Linked DNA regions of Neodiprion lecontei. Each later gene encodes a partner of the first gene's protein in a complex. Links are inferred from orthologs where the notes say so. Each region holds a gene or a part of one and is shown in the gene's direction. Other genes may lie near its edges.

Region 1 (4,804 bases):
GACCACTCTGGTTAATAATTTCAAAGTTGTTGATTCTCTAATTGATCGATCGAAATGTAGTTCTAATTTTTAGTAGTTTGTCAATACGATTTGAAAACCGCCTTGAGTAATTAATAACTTGGCTCGATTGTGATTGCTAAAGAGTGTGTCATTTAAAAATTAGAATAATCAATGATGATCCAGAACACTTTGAATGAAAAAGATGGGATCATAGCGTCAAGGATAGGGCAATGATATGTGAACAAAAACTGTGGTGATATTAGCCAAAATTATTTATTGCTCAAGAATAAATTATTCTTGACTAGCATCCACATTTTCTGTCTGGAGTCCCTTGAAGGTGGCAACAGGGATGTATGTAACTAGTGTGTACAATTTGTTTGCAGAGTCTTCGTCGTCGTTCCTTCTCCTGCTAAGGCGGACGCGAACACGGAAGGGGACATTTCTGAAAGCAAGAATGAAAAATATTTAATACAATTTGAGTACAGGTATTACAACAGTATTTGTTTCAATTTTACAATGTCAACGAGTCCACCAACTAGACTGTGAAGTAATTGTAATTGTATTTAAATGGGATGTGAAAGACTGCCATCTAAAATCAACTAGGACACAACTGCCGTTTGTAAATCAATTAGGAAGAGTCTCCATAAATTATTGAAACGGTCAATAAACACGAGGCTAGCTAAGCGTATTAACTTCCGTCCGAAAAGGGAACTTTTGAGCCGAAAAGACTCCTCATCCTGTCAAGTGATTAGACTAAATAACAAAACTTATCCACATCGGCTATCACATATCTCACATATTGTAACCTTATTGATTACTTGTAACAGCCAGAGGAGCATAATGTGATGCTCACTGGGTTAGAAGTGGTGGACATACAGTTACACAGTAGGGTTAACTTATCTATACGTTTGACATGCTACGTTTTGCGAAATCTATTTATTGGGTAAAGCGTGAACTGGAGTTTAACTGACAACTGTGTTTATTCAGTCAGCATACCTGATTCCCTTGGACCACAGCTGCTTGTTAAGACGTGTGTCGATCCTAACGTCAGGTGTGCCCATTTGTTTTTCGGCGAACTTCCTTATTTCCTTGATAGCTCGAGGTGCCCGTTTCTTGAATCCGACGCCATGCAATCGTTTGTGGAGATTGACCGTATATTCACGTGTCACGACCTCATTCATCGCGCTTTTTCCTTTCTTTTCGCCCGTAGATTTCGCCATCTTATACCTAACCATGTAAACAACGAAAAAGTGGTTAACCTCGTGTGCTGTAGAAAGATCACAGAATAATCTAATTTTCGAGCTACAATATTACTGAATATATATTTGTTGGGGTATTAAGAAGCACTTGGCACTGCCGGCATTAATTATTATTTAACACAGTCGCCGATGTTTTCAGATTTTATTTTCTACAAATTTATCATTACCTCTCCGATAAAATGGAAGTACTCAAAAGAGCCACTAACCGGTTGTGTTCCGAAAACAATCAAGGATTTCCACTCAGAAGGGCATATTCCGTCACCAGGAGCCGAAGAAATTGGACAAATATTATATTTGTGTCCTTTGGGAAATTTTATAAATAATTTGTTATACAATGAATCCAATCTTCAATGATTAATAAAATAACAACCAAACACTGCGACACGAACAATAAAGAATATACTAAAAGTTATAGCGTAATGGGGTGAAAACTGCAAGAACTTTAGCTTCTTCCCTAGTAAGCATCTAGGGATTTTGTTTCTCGAAGAATGGTATAAGATGCCCTGGTCTGATTTTCAACCAGTTTATGAACGCGCACGCGAGCCTGTAAAATGGTCTCCGTTAACCTGCGATGTTGATAGTAATGTTTGTAAGCTAAAATTTGTATAATTAATATTAAAATGGCTGGTAAAATATGGAATTCCGAGTTATGGAAATCATGGGATAAGCATGGAAAAAATGATTTGTAAGTGATTATCAAAATTGCGCCGCGCTCGCATTTGATTAATATTGAATTGATACCTACCTGCCTTCTCTGTGAAATGATGGTTGCAACCACCCAACTTATCTCTCCTGTTTCTCGCTCTTCTCAAGAGTTAATGTCAATTACCAACTGTTTGCAGCCTCAAGTTAATCAAGCAAAAATATAAGGAAGGGAACACAACAGGTATTAATGTATTTCAATATCCCATTTACAGCTGATCTCTACCACCTCACTTTGTCTTTGCGAATATCTTTTTAGCTTTACTTTGCTTTACTACCTCCAAACAAACTTATTCTTTAGCAGAGAACTTTTTTTGAATTTTGTTTTCAATTAACTGTCACATCATTTTGTAAATGTTTGAAGTTTTCAATTTGTACCGTGTGCAGCTGGCGGGTGTACTAAGTGCATGCTGATATGATAGATTCAGTCGCTAGACAAAGTCAGATTGTGCGCTTCCTTTTTCTGCATAATAAATTAAAATCAACCATTGTTTTTATGCTTTCAATAATTTCAGAATGGAGAAAGGGTTTATACCAATTGATATCAAATGGAATCCGAGGAAACGTAAAAAAGGATAGTGTAGTGTCGACACTTGGTGAACTTATGGTAAGGCAAATCAATCGTTTGCCCTTATAGCTCACATATCTCGAAACTATTGATGTTTTAATTCAAGTTTAAACACTTTATATTAAAAAGAAACTCATTACTGTGATCATTTAATGATTATGCAGTTGTTCAAATCATTGTTAAATTACATATTTTTTTTACAGAATATTGATGGTGCGATTCCATCAGCTGTTGTAGACATATTTACATTAATCGATGCTGAAGCGCATAATGAGGATAGAAACAATTTGTATTACATTGTCAAAGAATCGGAAAAGGTAATACTTGATTGCAAGCAACAAAAACGAATGTAGGTCATTTCCTTAGTGTGGCATACTAATCAGTATTTCTCTTTTTCAGTTTCTCACAGATAGAATCTTGAAAGAGCGTCTGGAAATTGATACTCTTCAAGATGTTGGGACGTTGAAGAATCGCAATTTTCAAACTAAGTTCATCAAAGTTAAAACCAAACTCTAGTACGTATGATTTTTTGATAAGAACATCATCTGTTACATCTCACTAGATTTAGTATACATAAATTTTGTTTTACCTCAAATTCTTACCACCTATCAACTGCTTGCAGTAATCTGTAATATCAATTTATTATTTCAGCTACAAACAGCGAAAATTCAATTTGTTTCGCGAAGAGAGCGAAGGATATTCTAAACTGATTGTTGAATTAAATCAAGAATATCAAGAAAATGAAGTTGCATCTACCTTGGAGATTGTCAAGTCTCTCATTGGTATGATATAGGCACTGAGTATTTGACTACTCTTAAGACATTGTTTCTTTTCCAAGATTTCGCAACGAAGAAAAAACTTGATAAACTTGAGATAAAACTTATTCGCTCCTACTACATGCCAAAGTGTGTGACGTTTAATTAATATATTGATATTAATTTCAGGTTACTTTAATCTTGACCCTAACAGAGTTCTTGATATTTTGCTGGAAACATTTGAAAATCGGCCAGATGACGACAGTTTATTTATTCCTCTCATTCGCTCTTACATGAGTGACCAGCAAGTACTTTGCGAAGTTCTAGGCTTTAAATATCGCTCTTCAACAGCAGCAACCCCATTTTCTTTACAGAAAGTTGCAGCATTGATGTTGCAACATCATGTAATCAAACTGGACGATATTTTACCCTGGCTTGTGCCAGACGACAAGGATATAATTAAGGATCATGAATTGGCAATGAAACAAGCTAAAGAATATGTTAGAAAGATGAGTGTCATATCCACTAAAGATAAGGAGGAAGTCCCTGAGGAAAAAGATGTCGTACAGGTTTGTATCATTTATCATACTAAATATCATATTGAACTTCTTTTGTATAATTTGGACTTTAGGTACAGGTGTCCAATAATAATTTATTTGGCAGGATAAGTACGTTACCAATCAAAAGTTTGGACTCTGTCAAGCATTATTAGAAGTCGGTGCATGGGACATAGCACAGAATTTATTTAAACGACTACCAGATCATTGCTTTACTGATCAACGACCAATCGCACTGGCACTTTGCAGAATGATTCAGTCAATCATCGAACCAGCCTACAGAAAGTGAGTTCAAAGCTTACAGAATGAATCTTTTTCCCAAAACTAAAGTCAATCAACTTGTGCATTGGCACTAAGATATTATTTCAAGGGTGACCCAGGACTATTGCTCCATAGGCTACCAATGTATTTTTCATTAAAATCTGCGATTGAGACGTTTTTACTTCTAATAGAAAATTTGTGTTTTGCGAATTACAGCTATTTGAAATTGGCTAATCCGGTAGTATTTTATGGCTCCGAACAGAGCTGGTGGATCGTAATTTGATCATTGTACTCTTGGTAACTGTCCTGAGCCATCAGCTGTCACCGAATACTAAATAATAAATATATATATAATAAATTCACGTCTAAAAAAATTCACGGCATATAATGTAACATACCATTGACAGTATAATTTTTATGCAGAATAACATTCAAGTATCGATTTCCAGATACTGCATCATATCACCAAAGTTACCTGGTAGAAAAGTGCCGCCAATGAAAAGCCCTCTAGCTCCACTGCCTTTTTATAAATTGGACGACATACACGATCGTTTACTGCCAATGCTGATGATACTTGGACCTAACTTACATCACGATGCAATTTTGATGTACAAAATTATGCGTCTGTGTCACGTTGCTATCAAGCAATGCGAATTGGACTCAAATAAGCAACCTATAAGCAAAGAAAACAATCTTTACTAT
Region 2 (5,721 bases), on another chromosome or scaffold:
GCGGCGGGGAGTCTCTTTACGTGACCGGAAACATACACAAATTAAACGTTCTTCGGGGAAGGTCAATTATTTTTTATGATAGTAAAACCTTGAGCTTTCTGGTGCCGACTTTTCAGCTGGGCCCATCTCCCGCTGCGCTGCAGTGTGTCACCACCCACCGTGTAGGGCTCTCGTGATTGCCAATTAGCCATTTCGGACAATTTTCCGATCATCGGGCCCTGCGGCAGAGCCATATAACGTATTATATCTAGCGTCCATTGTACTTGCCTTGTCTATGATGTCTGTCTCGTGTACACAAAGCCATAGTTTTATAGTATACCCCAGCCGTATTGGATTACTTTTGTACGGAGGCCAGAATCCGTTATTTTTGGAACGATTTCCGCATTGGAATAAAACATGCTTAATTCGGCAACCTAAAGAAACGGGATCCATAATTGTGCTAATCGTTCCGTTTCTATTCTTTTTCAGTTGTCGGGCAAGCGAAGGTGTAAACATTCTTCCACTATACCATCTTCTAAATCCTCGTTGAATGCTACCAGTAATTTTTCTGCAGATTCTCTTATTTCCTTAATTTATAATATCTTCAGCCGTTCTAGAAAACTGAATTTTTCATGAAGCTCTGCATATACCAACTGCGCCATTACAATTCTGCACTGAGACTATCATCTATTACGTTAAATGTATTTATCCGAAAGTCATCTCGCCCACTTTCAGTACTTGGGCTTTCATCTATTCTGAGTTTTCTTTTCTTAATCCGCTTATTCTCCGTTTCATATTCTTGAACAGTCGATGTAGCCTTTACCATCTCTTCAAAGTGGTCGAAGTTATCTCTAATACTTCGGGCGAAATCAGTAAGCGAATGATATAATTCCACGACGGTTCCAATATCAATATTTACGCTCTGCAACTTCAAATTCACAAGGTTGAACCTTTTCAAAATCAAACCTCATAAGTTTGCAATAATGACTGCAAACTGCTCGGTCTCATCACTTGCGATACTTTTTAGAGCAGTGAAACTCCAACCCGCAAGCCGTGTTAAGGAACTTCGTTCCAAAAATGCATTTACAGACCCAATTTCTGCCGCCCCCTAAAAAATGCCGTTCTAGGTCCGAATCTATCGGCCCTATAGGTAAATTCGGCGCTGAGTATGAGTTATGTATTAAACATATCTACATAAATTACATAAGGTACAGCATATAGGAATAACTATACATCTTCATCCTTTGATTAATTTTTTCGACTATTTGTCCTATCGTTTGTATCAAGAAAAGGTTTTTAACGCTGTTAACAGTTAACCAGGTGTATGTTTATGGTGCATGCATCTATTTAGATAACATTATTTTTGTCTATCTGATGGAGTTGGATTAAAATTGCTGAATTTGGCTAAAATGAATTTGCATAGTTGAAAAGTATACGGCGTCCTTACGGGGTCATATAAGGATTTCAGTCTGTTCCTGTTCGTCATTCCATAGGAAAATAACATTTAATTCTGCATTATTTGGGTACACGCGGTGAGTCATTCGGTTTTTGTCGCCTTTACGTACCGACAGCTTGCCGGCTTCAGTTGCGCATGCAGGGAAGAGCGCAGATGGCGTTACTTGACGATAAATTAATCTCGTTCATTTTCGATTACAAAAATTCCCACAAGGCTATCAGTATTTATATACCTTCAGTTAACGCAAATGAAAAATTCCGCAAATTTTGATAGTGTTATTCGGAACTAAAACACATTATTATATTTTTATTTTACGAAAAATATTTATAGAGGAGTGGGGGGGCATACCTGGCCCTCTAGCGGCAGAGTTAGAAAGCTAACCAATCTGGTAAAAGGCCGGGCGGACGTCTACGGTTGATCAGTTTACGAACGTCCCTGCAGTTGTGTAGACGCGTCGCTCGTAAAAGCTCGTAGTAGTTTTCGACACTCTTCGCGGTCTTGATCGCCATCTTTGACATAACGGGGTGAGGTTGGTTTTGTGCGTACGAGTCCACTGTTAAAGCAAAGAATTTATTACGTACAAATGAAGATGGTAGACAAAATAGAAATGAGTCTGGATGACATTATCAAGCAGAACAAAGGTGGAAGAACCCGGGGCAGCGGACGTCGTGGACGCGGAACAGCTTCGCCGAGACGTGGTATCCGAGGTGCGTCGCGAGCCGGCGGTGGAGTGATGCGCGGCCGAAGCCGAGGAGGAATTGGCCGCTCAGCCGTTCCATACACCCGGGTAATTATTAATTTTCCATGCTCATACTCAGATCATTCCAGATATCCCAAGTTTTTCATAAATTTATATCCGAGACGAAGTTGCTTTTTTCTACAAACACTCATCGGGCATCATTCGCCTGTGTGTATCGATGCATATATGACCGCTAATTTCGGAACTGCACACATGCGGTTGTGTTCTTATTGCGGATATTATATCACGTCAATTTGTTTTATTTCTTTTTTGAATTTCACTTTTCCGTACTTCATTCATCGCTTCCAAAATTACAATTACGTTATTAAAAACAAAATTAGGAACTGCAAAATGCAGGAACGCTACACTCCCAACACCAAAAAATTCTAAATTGCGCCATTTTAATGAGCGCGCCTGATTAAACGTGGTATCAATAAAATTTTCACGTTTGACCTTTTCAGCTAGAAAATGCGTTTCACTTTTTGATAGTTCTCCCACGGTGTAATTTTCTTGTATTACTTCATTGGCATAATTCGATCGTTTGTGAATAATACGAATAAAATAATCTTGATACTGCAGTGTCTATATTGGTTTCCCATTTGTTTTTGGGTAGTCTAAAAAGAAGCATACAGTAATGGTTTTTTTTTTTTGTAAAATTCTACAAATATTCATTCACAGTCAAACATGAACAATCTATTATATATGTTTAAAATGCAAATAGTTTACTTTAACCAGTTATTTTACAGATGGTTGTAGTTTGACCTCGTTCACTTGTGTACTTCTAAACTTCTTTTAATTTTTTTGTTTCTCTTTTAAGATACCACTATTATCCACAATATATTTTTGTTTACATCAAAAAGAATTCCACAAGATGAGTTGATAAATGCTACTACGATGAATTTGTCAGTCGGAATGTTTTCACCCAGTTGAATAAACATCACGATTACATAGTTTTCTGTTTTTTGTGTTAAAAAATATACGAGTAATTGTAAAGAACAAGTAAAGTAAATGATATTCATAAGCTTCAATAAGTATGTATGTTCAACTGTTAAATTATATGTATGAACTTGTTCTGTTTTACCTGATAACACACAGAAACACACAAGTCTCGTGAAGGTCTATTTAGAATGAATTGAATATATTCGAACTTTGTTTAATTTAAGACTATTGAACCTCTCGTTCATCATAATAAGATTGGATTGTGTGTTAATTTTAGGGAGATGTGAACAGTGCTTGGAAACATGACATGTTTGATGGAGTGAAGAAAGTTGGACGAGGTGCAGTTGGTGGTACAGGCACAACCAAACTACTTGTTTCAAATTTAGATTTTGGGGTGTCCGATTCAGATATTCAGGTAAAATATTAATGCAATGTATATCTAATATTTTCCAGTCTATTCAACAACTTTTAGTTTCTTATCAAGAACATGTCTCTAATTTTATAGATGGTGATATTCATTAAAACCTAATTCTAATACTTAATTTGGGAGTTCAAGTTTTCTGAAAATTCAAATAACTTTTAAGTAGATCTCTAGTTGAAAACATGTAAACGAAATTTTTTGACAGTACTTTAATAATTAATTGAATTTTTTTTCATCTTAAATGACAACTAGGAATTATTCAGTGAGTTTGGCCCATTGAAATCAGCTGCTGTACACTATGACAGATCTGGTCGATCGCTTGGCTCAGCAGATGTTATATTTGAAAGAAGAGCAGATGCCATTAAAGCAATGAAACAGTACAATGGCGTGCCTCTTGATGGTAAGTTTTTTTTTTCCTCTTAATATTTCAAGTTCAATTACTATACAGTCAAAATATTGTGCGATTTTCATTAATGCAAAAGTAATAGTGGAGGATAAATTCTTTGTAGTAAAGTATTAATACAGTTTTTATGACACATGCATGAAAAATTCGCATTTTGAGGACTGTTTTCAAACTGTAGAATGGTACTTTACACTGCTGACTTCAGAACTGCAGTATAAAAAATTTTCATGTTGCACTGTAAAAAATATCGTATGGAGCTCGAGTGTAAATTGCTACTCGGTCCATCTAACGTTTGTGGCACGTCATACTTTCGGTATGTCGACGACCATCGAATCGTCTGTGCTGATAACATCTGTCTTACCGAACAACACTCAGTTCACGCCCATGCTACGCAAAATAACTACTTAATACTGACTATTCGGTCAACAGGTCGAGAGATGAATATTCAAGTAGCAACTTCAGAACTTCCAGTAACCTCATCTATCCGAGGAAGTAGACTCAGTGGTGGTAGCTTCGTACAAAGAGCCCAACCGCGCTTCAGAGGAGCTCGTGGAGCTAGTTCCAACCGAGGTACTTTACTGTTTACTTGTTACTCGTCTACCAATTATCTCAAAATAGTTGATGTATTAGAATTTAAGTTTCCCAGAAGAGCCCGTAATGTTAGTGTAGCGAATATTTTTTATATCATTAATACTTACCCACTTGCGAGTTTATTACGTCTAATTGGATGGATGTTTGTTTTCATTAGGTCGTGGAACCGGTGGTCGACGTGGTGGAACTAGAGGAGGTGGACGGACGCCAGCCAAAACTCCAACTGCAGAAGAGTTGGATGCAGAATTAGAAGCATACGTTAAGGAAGTGAAGTAACATAAGATAGCATAAAATTCTACTACATATATCTTCTTTCTCATTTAACGGTTCTTTTATTAATTGAAGAACGTAACAATCTCTTATTTCCAAATAAGTTAATAATCATGAAATTAATACGTGAGAGTAAAGAAAAAGATTTTTTTTTGATTGTCTCGGAATGAGTATTTTTTAATTATGTTTGACGTTCTACTACTCATAGAGTTTAGATACCTAATAACAACTCAAATGCAATATGAAAAAGCTGCAGAGTAAAATCGTACCGTGATTTTTGGCATCCGAGGTAAAAAAAATGTCCATCAGACATGGGAAAGAATACAAAGTTGTGACATAATATAAAGGCTGTATGAATTTTGTATGTAATACCGTGCGTGTGTGATCATAAACTGAAAAATACACTCAAATTCTCCTTCAAAAGTTGTTATTTATCAAAGTACGTCATGTGCTTATAGCCCTTAATAAGTATAAGTTGAAGGCAACACTGTAAAAATAACTTTAGCCTTATGTAAGTGGCGTTCCTATTATCATCATCCTCTTTAATAATAATCAAATTACGCAGATTTTAAGTGTAGCACATTTACAATAAAGTGGGTAATTGTTATAGAAACGTCTTAACAGTGTTGATAACGATATTATACAATACACACAACATTATAACGTTTAAAATGCTTGTAATCATTTGTAATTGTATCCAAGATGATGAGTTTTTTTCACCATAGTGAACTATTGTCGTTATCAAATAATGACATATGCAAGATTTTGAGAAGAAAAAAATATGAGGGAAAAAAACCACCGCAAATAATTGAGCTGCGATGTGTTAAGGCTGTGAACATATAATTCAGTCAGGTCATCAGTAACTAATTTCTTTCTCAATAATGGCCTGATATTACTGGGTGTCGACGTGTATCTCCAATACA
Region 3 (4,637 bases), on another chromosome or scaffold:
TAGATTTACACATGGTAATTCATAAACTGAAAATGTAAACTAGCGATATTCTTTCCTACCACTTCGAATTATACAATTCGACAATTATGAGGATAAAATAGACGATCTGTAAATATCTGACCGTCTGAGTGGTAGAAACTTCACGAGAATGGGATTCAAAATACTATGCGAAGTAAGAAATACTCGAACGGTATTCTAGCTCTAGCGGTTACCGCTAGATATCGCGCCAATCTCGTAAGTGAAACTACTCGGCAGTAACTTATAGTTATAACAATTCTTGGAGACGAGATTTATTGTGTCCATCTATTTTTGAAGCATAGTCAAGGCAAAGATAGATACATTTCGATTTATCGTCTGTGTATACGTATGCATGCCTGATACTTGCGTCTACTAAGAAACGAAGACAAATTGCGAGGCAACGCGATCTGAATAATCCGTATTAGCATAAGTTGAACATACATCGTGCTTGCAAGCAATGTGAGTGAGTTCTGCGATACGGTGAAATTGAGGATCGCTTACTGGGGATGATGTCACAATCGTCATGGCAACTCCCACAAAAGGGTATTTGAGTCAAGGAAGAAAGCTCATCGTCGGTGTTTAATTACCGGTTTTCGTTTCCGTCTCTGAATTATTCATGGAGTCTCAATTCTACGTAATATTTTTGAAAGTCGTTTATGTGTTTGAAAATACAATGCAGACTCAATGAAGTTTTCATTTGTTGGGATATTCATTCAATTTCAAAGAATCTGCCAGTATAATAGTTGGGAATGTATGCCTGGACCAATATGTTTCGAAATAAATCATACGCAGTTCGTTTTTCTAATAATATAGACTCGGAGAAATTATAGCATGTACATTAAAGAAAAAGATGGAGAATGTTACGATGTGTAATTAAATAACTATGATATTTTGTAACATCGGATTTATGTTATGTTTGAATGAGTGAAGGATTTTTGGATTTTTCATTGACAGAAAAACTTTATTGAGAGGTATTGTAAAACAATTGCTGGAAAAATGTTGAGTTGGGATTTGAAAAAAAAAATGTATTGCACAAGTTTTTATTCATCATACTGTTTAATAACAATGATTCGACGTTTGGATCTTGTATACACACAGCATGTTGAAAATCATGGAAGTTTCATTCTTATTCTACACTGGAAAATTTGCTCGAAAGAGAACGTCAAGAAATCGTAATAAGAATAATAAACTTAATGAAAGTTAATAGCGTTAAAATAATTAATTGAGAAAATTAATTAGTCTTAAAAAATACAGCATTTCGCTCAAACAATCGATAGATATTTCGATCTTATTCAGGTGTTGGATATATTTACCTCACATTCGATGGCCGAACATTTTCAAAGTACACGAGTACAGCTAAAAAATTTTACGAACACAAGCTGTACAGTTAAAAAAATTCACTTACGCAATGCTGATTTTTTTCAACGGCTAAATATTGACGACTTCTTCGTGAGTATTTCTCTATTGGAAGACTATTCAATTACAATACTCAAACTTTGCACTGAGTTCTGTGTTATACAAGTTCAGATTGTGCATGTGTGCCAAATCAGCGCGGTGACATAGGTTAACAGCTAATTAATTCAACTAGTTATACTGAAGGTCAGGGGTATTTTTCAGATGAAAAGGTCAACGCATAAAGCCGCACGTCACGGCATCCTCATGCGTCACAGCGCAGACGCATGCATTAAAGCTCCATCACGACCGTACCTCAGAAGCATCATTCAGACGATAAATTACGATTCTGGATTCCTCGTGAATACTGAAAAAGGCGTCATCGCCATATCTGTATCGAGTTCGGACGAAGACCCTACTTCTGTGCTAGGCTGCATGGGTATGTACCGCAATATTTGATAGTTTGGTAGATTTTGTCGCAGAAATACAAAGAATTGTATTTCGAGTCAGGAAATTGCCAATTGATTGGTAAATCTATGCATTTCGTACGCCCATGCTCTTCTTTCAATTTTCATAATCCCTCGCACTGACTCTCCACAGTCTATGTATATTAATGTCTTGAACAACATTTCACTTACAATTATTTCTATGAGTATCGAATCGGAATCGAAATACGTTTAAATAACCTCCCTCGAAATATTTCCTGAATATTACTAATTTATTATCGTCAATAGCTACTCGGTGTATTCAAACGCGTAATGCACTTCAGATTAAAGCGGTCCATCAATCGTAAACGGCGGCTTCGTTCCCAGAAGGGAATATAGTCTCAAAACGACTAGGAACCAGTGGTGTAAAAGAATTGTTTAAACATATTCATCAAAGTGTTTTTTCAAATTATTCCATACTTCGTTGCGGTATACGTTTGAACCAAATGAGTTTATATTCATCAGTCTTCGCCTGTGGTGAGCAAAATCCACATTCTGTCGAATTCCGCAATGAACGGCTTGACTAGGGCGAGTTGATTCGAAACTATGACGTTGTCCCAGTTTCCGTGCATCGCTTGCATCGTCCAATTTGTACTCCCCGTCAAAATCAGCTTCCTATCAATTATCGCAAACTTGTGATGCATCAAGTATTCCGATTTCTTCATCCTCACTCGAATACCTGGCGATGAGGTTATACAAGAAACGATTAAATATCATTCGCTTGACCTTTATTTTGATTTTTGATTCAACTTTGTATAGCTGCTATTTACATGAAGAATTTCACAAATACTCATTGATTATACAGGTGAGAAATACTAGCTTTGCTTCCACTTTGAGATTTGAAATTTGAAAAACGGTCTATAATTGTGTGATTTTAGCGGGTATAAACGAAATTCTCGAGGTCCCTGTAAATTTCACGTTGTTAAACGACATGCATTAATCAACTCAAAAAACACATGTTTTCACGTTCAACGCACTTGTAATTGCACTTGAAACTTAAAACCCTGATTTCGTCACGACAGATTCTTTTTTCAGTACGTTGTTCGAATTTTCTTCGATTTTCGGTACTTGATTAATTTTTAAATTACAGAGTCTAATTCGGACGTGAATAGTTCTTGAGAAACTGTGTACCTAACGGCATAGAATATCTACGAAATTTCATCAATATCGTACAAACTATTTCGAATCAAGATATCACGTGAAGAGTGTCGAAAAACGTTGTTTCGAGTAAATTAATTGTGAATTTTACCGTATCAATTGCAAATACTAAAAGTTGACTTAGAAATTCTACGCGAAATGGTGACGAATCGCCTTACTTTCTGAGAAATCCTGTTATTCAAATTGTTTGGGAGTGATTTAGATAATGATACGCGTGCGATTTGAAGAGCCTGAATTGCTTTGAACTAAGTAAAATCTTACCTCGTTCTCGAAAATCTCTTATACGACGCTCACAGGCGGAATTTTCCGCCATTCCTCCATCGACGATAATTCTGACAACTACTCCGCGACAAAACACCTTGGCTATCGCTGCTGCTAGATCCTCACAGCTGAATAGATACATGCAAACATCGAGATTTTGCTGAGCAGATTCCAAATATGCGCATAGTTTCCTACAGCAGAAAGAATACGTATTTCACAAGTCGTATATATCGTAGCGGATCATTTACAGCAGACAGGCCGTGTCCGTACTAAAAGCAACATGACGACGTTGAAGCAAAGATTTCCAGGGTGGGTGTTTCGACGCTTCGAATTGAATAGATATCTTGTGATCTGTCTGTTACGAAATATGATGTTTGTCGGTAGCAGGGTAGGTTATAAAATCTACGAGATTGAAGTTAGCAACGTTATTGTAACGAAACGTTGAGAAATAATCACTATTTTATTACGGTTTGCTGAATTTCAAACAGCTGCGAAATTATCTCTGTGAAGTTGGTACCCCATTTTGGAAAAAGTAAGTTTTCGTTTTTACGAGTTCTGGATAGTGCTCAAATAGTTCTACAGTTCTATACCCATATGAGAAATACTTCTGGTTGTTTACCACCAATTGTAAGAAAATAATAAACAATAAAAAAAATAACAACAATGCTAGCACCCCACAATTAAAGTACGGCAATTTTTTCGAGTTCTAAGAAGATTTCAGAAATAGCTCGAGAACTCTTCGAATTCTGATTGAATCGGAAAAATTCATTCGAATGATTGACGGAACTCACGCTCGTCTATGCGAAACTCTCATCGGAACTTTGGGAATGGTTAAAATTAATTTTCGCTGTAAGTAATGCGCGTGGATATTTTGTTCAATATCTCGGTAACGAAACAAAATAAAAAAATTTGAATCGGCTGAAACTCTAGAATTCTGAAAAAAAAATGACTGGTTTTAAATAACGGAGTGCTAGCATTTTTGTTATTTTTTATTTTCTATTTTATTAGTGGTAAATAACCAGAACTATTTCTCATATAAGCATAGAACTGTAGAACAATTCGAATACCATCCAGAACTCGCAGCAAAAACTTATTTTTTCGAAAACGAAGTAATCAGCGAAGTTGGCACCCCATTTTTTGAAATTAATTTTTTGAACCCTAATTGACCGGAACTATTTTTGAAAATTATCCGGAACTTTAGAACTCTTTGAGAAGATTCAAGAACACTCGAAAATTTTTATTTTTTTTTTTCAAAAATGGGGAGCCTACCTCACAGAGGTTGCAAAATTGCGAAATAACGGGTTTTCATCAGCATGAGTCGTT
Region 4 (3,345 bases), on another chromosome or scaffold:
GAGCGAAGCTCCGAATAAATTCGACATTTGTATAAAGTTTTCAATATATCTAAACTGTTTAATCCATGAAGTATCTTTCCAGTATGAATAAGTTCGATAAAAAACTGATGGAAGCAATACATTGTATATTAAACTCACCTTTGTTCTTTTGGCCCCAGGACTGTCCACGGTGGGTGGATGTCCCCTGATAGGATGGTGGGCTCCACCTCGGGGCCTTCTTCTCCGTCTTTTACTACTATAACTTTCTTCGTAGTCATAGTCACTGTCTGGATCGGGTTCGTCGAAGGCATCCATGTCCAGCATGTCTTGCTCATCATAGTACCAAGCATCCTTACTATGTTCATCTGAAATAATTTTTTCTTAATAATCGTTGAACATCAAGACTACAAGAGAGTTTGCGGAAACATACGTAACAAGTAATTTCAGTAGGGCTTAAAATATATTTTAAGCATTGAGGGTAGTGAATTGGCAAATCTAACGAGCGACGAGAATCAATTGGACCGGAAATTGTATCAACAATTATTGCACGCCCACTCGGAAGGAGATGCCAATCAGATGTATGTGATAACATGGAAAGTAGATATTGATTAGGACGAACCTTTGAGAGCAACAGAATCTTTGCTGTCATCATTTAGTCCCGCAACAATTCCGTCGGCTCCTTCGACTCCGTCATCTATATCCCCTCGGGTGCCTCGTTTTGGGTGAAGATAGTGCATCAGATACTGTCGCCGCTTTTTCCGCCATCGTTTGCTCGGGTAAGTATATACCTGACCATGCATCAAGCCTGGGATTCGTTCTCGAGCCGACATGAAGAGAGCCGAGTGATTTTGGGCGACTCCTGTGGTTAGAAAAAACTCGTTTATCAATAGCCATTGATTAACCAAGACAGGAATGACGGGAATGTCAAGATATCCAGTAACTAATGACAATAATCACAGGAAGTAATCAACTGGTTCCATCTACTTACCAGTTTGCGAGTCGAGGAAGGGCATTCGCAGTCTTCGTTCTCTGCATAGTCTTGTGTTATAATTGGAAGAATTCTCTATGGCTTCTCTATAGGCGGTGTCGTTCAGGAAGCTGCGGACAGATCAATACATTCAACATAGCGAAGTGCAACCCGCTCGTCCTACGACGGAGCAAAAATCGTCGAGGTTAAATTACTCTGTCAATTTAACGATGCGAATATTTCCATCAACATATGTGACAATCGTCTGGTCGCACTCACCTCTCGATTTTACTCAAATTCGACTCGTTCACTACTTGAATTAGGTGATGGGACGCTGGGAGAGCTGTCACCGTCGCCATCTTCAAGCAGTTTCCATCTCATGGGGAAATCGGAAATGCAACCGCCATTGTAGCCTTCATTAAATCTGCCGGAAGTACAAGGAAGAGTCGATCAGGGAGCGTATAATATAATCCTACATTATATATTAAAGTTGCGACAGATAGCGATTATTGCTAAAGTGGGACAATTGATATGTCACGAGCTTTGGCTTCACAAATGTGGAACAATTGATTTATAATCGATTCTTTATAAGAAATTTACAATTTTTCATCTCGTGCACATGCGATAATTTCCCTGGAGTCGATGATCGAATAGAATCAGTGCGCAAGTCACGTTACGTTGTAAATAAAATGGCGACTGACTTGTGGTAATTGTTGACTCTTTCTTTACCGACTAAAATTACGATACCGTGTGTTTGTAGTAGCTTATTCTAATTGAGGTTGAACGAAGAAAAAATTCGGTTCTTTTCAACGCAAATTGAAGTTCGACCTAGCTGATGTTTACACCTTGAATAAAATTTTTAAACTTCAAGAACCCGACGTCACTACATCATCGAATATGTCAGATGGTAAATAGCCAAATATAATTCAAAATCAAATTGTAAATGCGACATTTATGTCAGTTTCACGGTATAAGCGCCGGAAAGTGAGACATAACCTCATTTTGTGTTTTTATACAAAAAATTAGCTTTGTGATTATACTACAACATTAGTTAAACGTTTTTAATTGCACGATTTTTTAGAGGAAGTTATACGACGTCGTCTACTCATAGATGGAGATGGAACAGGCGATGATAGACGGATAAACGTTTTGTTGAAGTCGTTTTTAAAATGGGCAAATACTCCGGATCCAGACAATACTGTGCATGAAAGAATGCTGTCACAGCTAGCCCAGTGTGAATTCGCACAAAAAAAATCTCGTCTCGTAGCAAATATGAGTCAAGAGGAGTTAAAGAATTATGAAAGGATGTCAAAGGATATTGGTATTCAAATTGAAGAGGCTAAAAAAGAAATTGAGAAAACTAAGGTCGAGCTACAAGATGCTAAACGTGTTCGTAAAAATAGAATCGAGTATGACGTTCTTGCCAAAGTGATCAGCGAACAGCCTGATAGACTTGAAACAGATGTGAAGCTCGCCACTTTGCGTAAAGAGTTGGGAACCTTGAAGGTATTTTATGGACAAATTTTTTATCCTATCTTAGAAATAGTTTTAAATCGTTCATTTTTATGTCGACAATTAGCCGATTAAAGTGTGTCTCTTGGGAAAAAGTACGGCAACAACTATTTTATTCTTACAGGAAAAATCTGAACAATTAGAGCATAAGCTAGAAATGCGAAGAAAACAATTCCATGTGCTAATATCGTCGATTCATTCGCTACAAGGAATGTTGGATGAGTCTGATGAAGAAATAATGGACGTCAGTCTTGAGAATTACGAGGATGTGGATGTGTGTATGTCTCCAAAGGCTGCAGCCTGGTAAATGTTTCAAATTTTCCCCCGTAGCGTTTTGCAACAATAGATTATTGTAGGAAAGTAATTGAGAGATGAATTTGAGCAAAATAAGATCGTCAAAATCATCTTCCTAGTTTCAATTTGAGCTTGCTGGTCTTTGGAACGTGCCTGATAGTCAGGGATAATCTTGTCCCTCTGTCAATCACTTCATTCTCTTGATATTTCACAGCACAGAGATCTAGATTCATAATGTTCTTCCTTGAAATCGTATCACAATGCCTCTCAGAAATTGAATGCAGGTACTTGTGGTACAGGTCGTTTTCTAAAATAAGTAAACTTCTTCTCTCAAGTAGCAAGGTAAACTCCAGATTAGAAACTTCCTACGAATAAAGAATTCAGGAATAACTGTCAAAAAGCTCGTAGTTTCTCACCCTTATCAATATTTCTTTTACAGATACTTACTACGTGGTCAGTCTCATTCCGCTTATAAAAATCCAGGAGAGTGTGCGAGCCACAACTTATTGTTGTAACAATAGGATGAAATAATGGACCATCCGAATGTGCCTGTATAATAAAAAGTCAGTCCATATCAGGGACAAAAGGAAGAA

What was found.
Region 2: THO complex subunit 2 (region 1) and THO complex subunit 4 share a complex: the UniProt entries of both Homo sapiens proteins name them as parts of the transcription/export (TREX) complex. The link is inferred for Neodiprion lecontei from reciprocal best matches to the Homo sapiens genes THOC2 and ALYREF.
Region 3: the proteins of THO complex subunit 2 (region 1) and THO complex subunit 1 are in contact, whole or in part, in a cryo-EM structure (PDB 7ZNL), measured with the Homo sapiens proteins. The link is inferred for Neodiprion lecontei from reciprocal best matches to the Homo sapiens genes THOC2 and THOC1. Residues at the interface, in NP_001075019.1 of Homo sapiens: Leu155, Phe156, Tyr157, Lys158, Gln160, Asn163, Leu164, Leu165, Arg166, Asn169, Glu170, Ala173, Lys174, Ile176, Ala177, Gly180, Gln181, Asn195, Lys197, Ser198, Leu199, Ile200, Gly201, Cys202, Phe203, Asn204, Leu205, Pro207, Asn208, Arg209; in NP_005122.2 of Homo sapiens: Asn134, Arg138, Asn141, Leu144, Arg145, Lys149, Thr153, Cys156, Gly157, Gln160, Leu161, Ala164, Arg165, Phe167, Gln242, Phe245, Arg246, Tyr297, Ala299, Lys300, Phe301, Arg319, His320, Leu323, Gln324, Ile327, Tyr331, Arg373, Phe374, Lys376.
Region 4: THO complex subunit 2 (region 1) and THO complex subunit 7 homolog share a complex: the UniProt entries of both Homo sapiens proteins name them as parts of the transcription/export (TREX) complex. The link is inferred for Neodiprion lecontei from reciprocal best matches to the Homo sapiens genes THOC2 and THOC7.

The regions. Positions count from the first base shown.
Region 1 is NC_060265.1:3,424,450-3,429,253, reverse strand, and holds the start of THO complex subunit 2, read left to right. Parts: upstream 1-1,786; 5' UTR 1,787-1,879; coding exon 1,880-1,944; intron 1,945-2,101; coding exon 2,102-2,145; intron 2,146-2,476; coding exon 2,477-2,568; intron 2,569-2,732; coding exon 2,733-2,846; intron 2,847-2,928; coding exon 2,929-3,044; intron 3,045-3,180; coding exon 3,181-3,311; intron 3,312-3,473; coding exon 3,474-3,853; intron 3,854-3,947; coding exon 3,948-4,126; intron 4,127-4,551; coding exon 4,552-4,804. Other genes in the region: 60S ribosomal protein L31, read right to left, coding at 292-442, 997-1,220. UniProt on the Homo sapiens protein: Component of the THO subcomplex of the TREX complex which is thought to couple mRNA transcription, processing and nuclear export, and which specifically associates with spliced mRNA and not with unspliced pre-mRNA.
Region 2 is NC_060261.1:38,210,639-38,216,359, reverse strand, and holds THO complex subunit 4, read left to right. Parts: upstream 1-1,852; 5' UTR 1,853-2,018; coding exon 2,019-2,222; intron 2,223-3,390; coding exon 3,391-3,528; intron 3,529-3,786; coding exon 3,787-3,934; intron 3,935-4,366; coding exon 4,367-4,507; intron 4,508-4,685; coding exon 4,686-4,804; 3' UTR 4,805-5,221; downstream 5,222-5,721. UniProt on the Homo sapiens protein: Functions as an mRNA export adapter; component of the transcription/export (TREX) complex which is thought to couple mRNA transcription, processing and nuclear export, and specifically associates with spliced mRNA and not with unspliced pre-mRNA.
Region 3 is NC_060261.1:27,610,279-27,614,915, forward strand, and holds the start of THO complex subunit 1, read left to right. Parts: upstream 1-1,634; 5' UTR 1,635-1,849; exon of another isoform or gene 1,850-2,356; coding exon of another isoform or gene 2,357-2,574; intron 2,575-3,314; coding exon of another isoform or gene 3,315-3,505; intron 3,506-4,637. Other genes in the region: mitochondrial cardiolipin hydrolase, read right to left, coding at 2,357-2,574, 3,315-3,505. UniProt on the Homo sapiens protein: Component of the THO subcomplex of the TREX complex which is thought to couple mRNA transcription, processing and nuclear export, and which specifically associates with spliced mRNA and not with unspliced pre-mRNA.
Region 4 is NC_060266.1:24,841,184-24,844,528, reverse strand, and holds THO complex subunit 7 homolog, read left to right. Parts: upstream 1-1,652; 5' UTR 1,653-1,843; coding exon 1,844-1,853; intron 1,854-2,027; coding exon 2,028-2,452; intron 2,453-2,506; exon of another isoform or gene 2,507-2,582; coding exon 2,583-2,765; 3' UTR 2,766-2,831; downstream 2,832-3,345. Other genes in the region: zinc finger protein ubi-d4 A, read right to left, coding at 139-344, 599-838, 968-1,077, 1,226-1,305; alpha-ketoglutarate-dependent dioxygenase alkB homolog 6, read right to left, coding at 2,860-3,117, 3,200-3,301. UniProt on the Homo sapiens protein: Component of the THO subcomplex of the TREX complex which is thought to couple mRNA transcription, processing and nuclear export, and which specifically associates with spliced mRNA and not with unspliced pre-mRNA.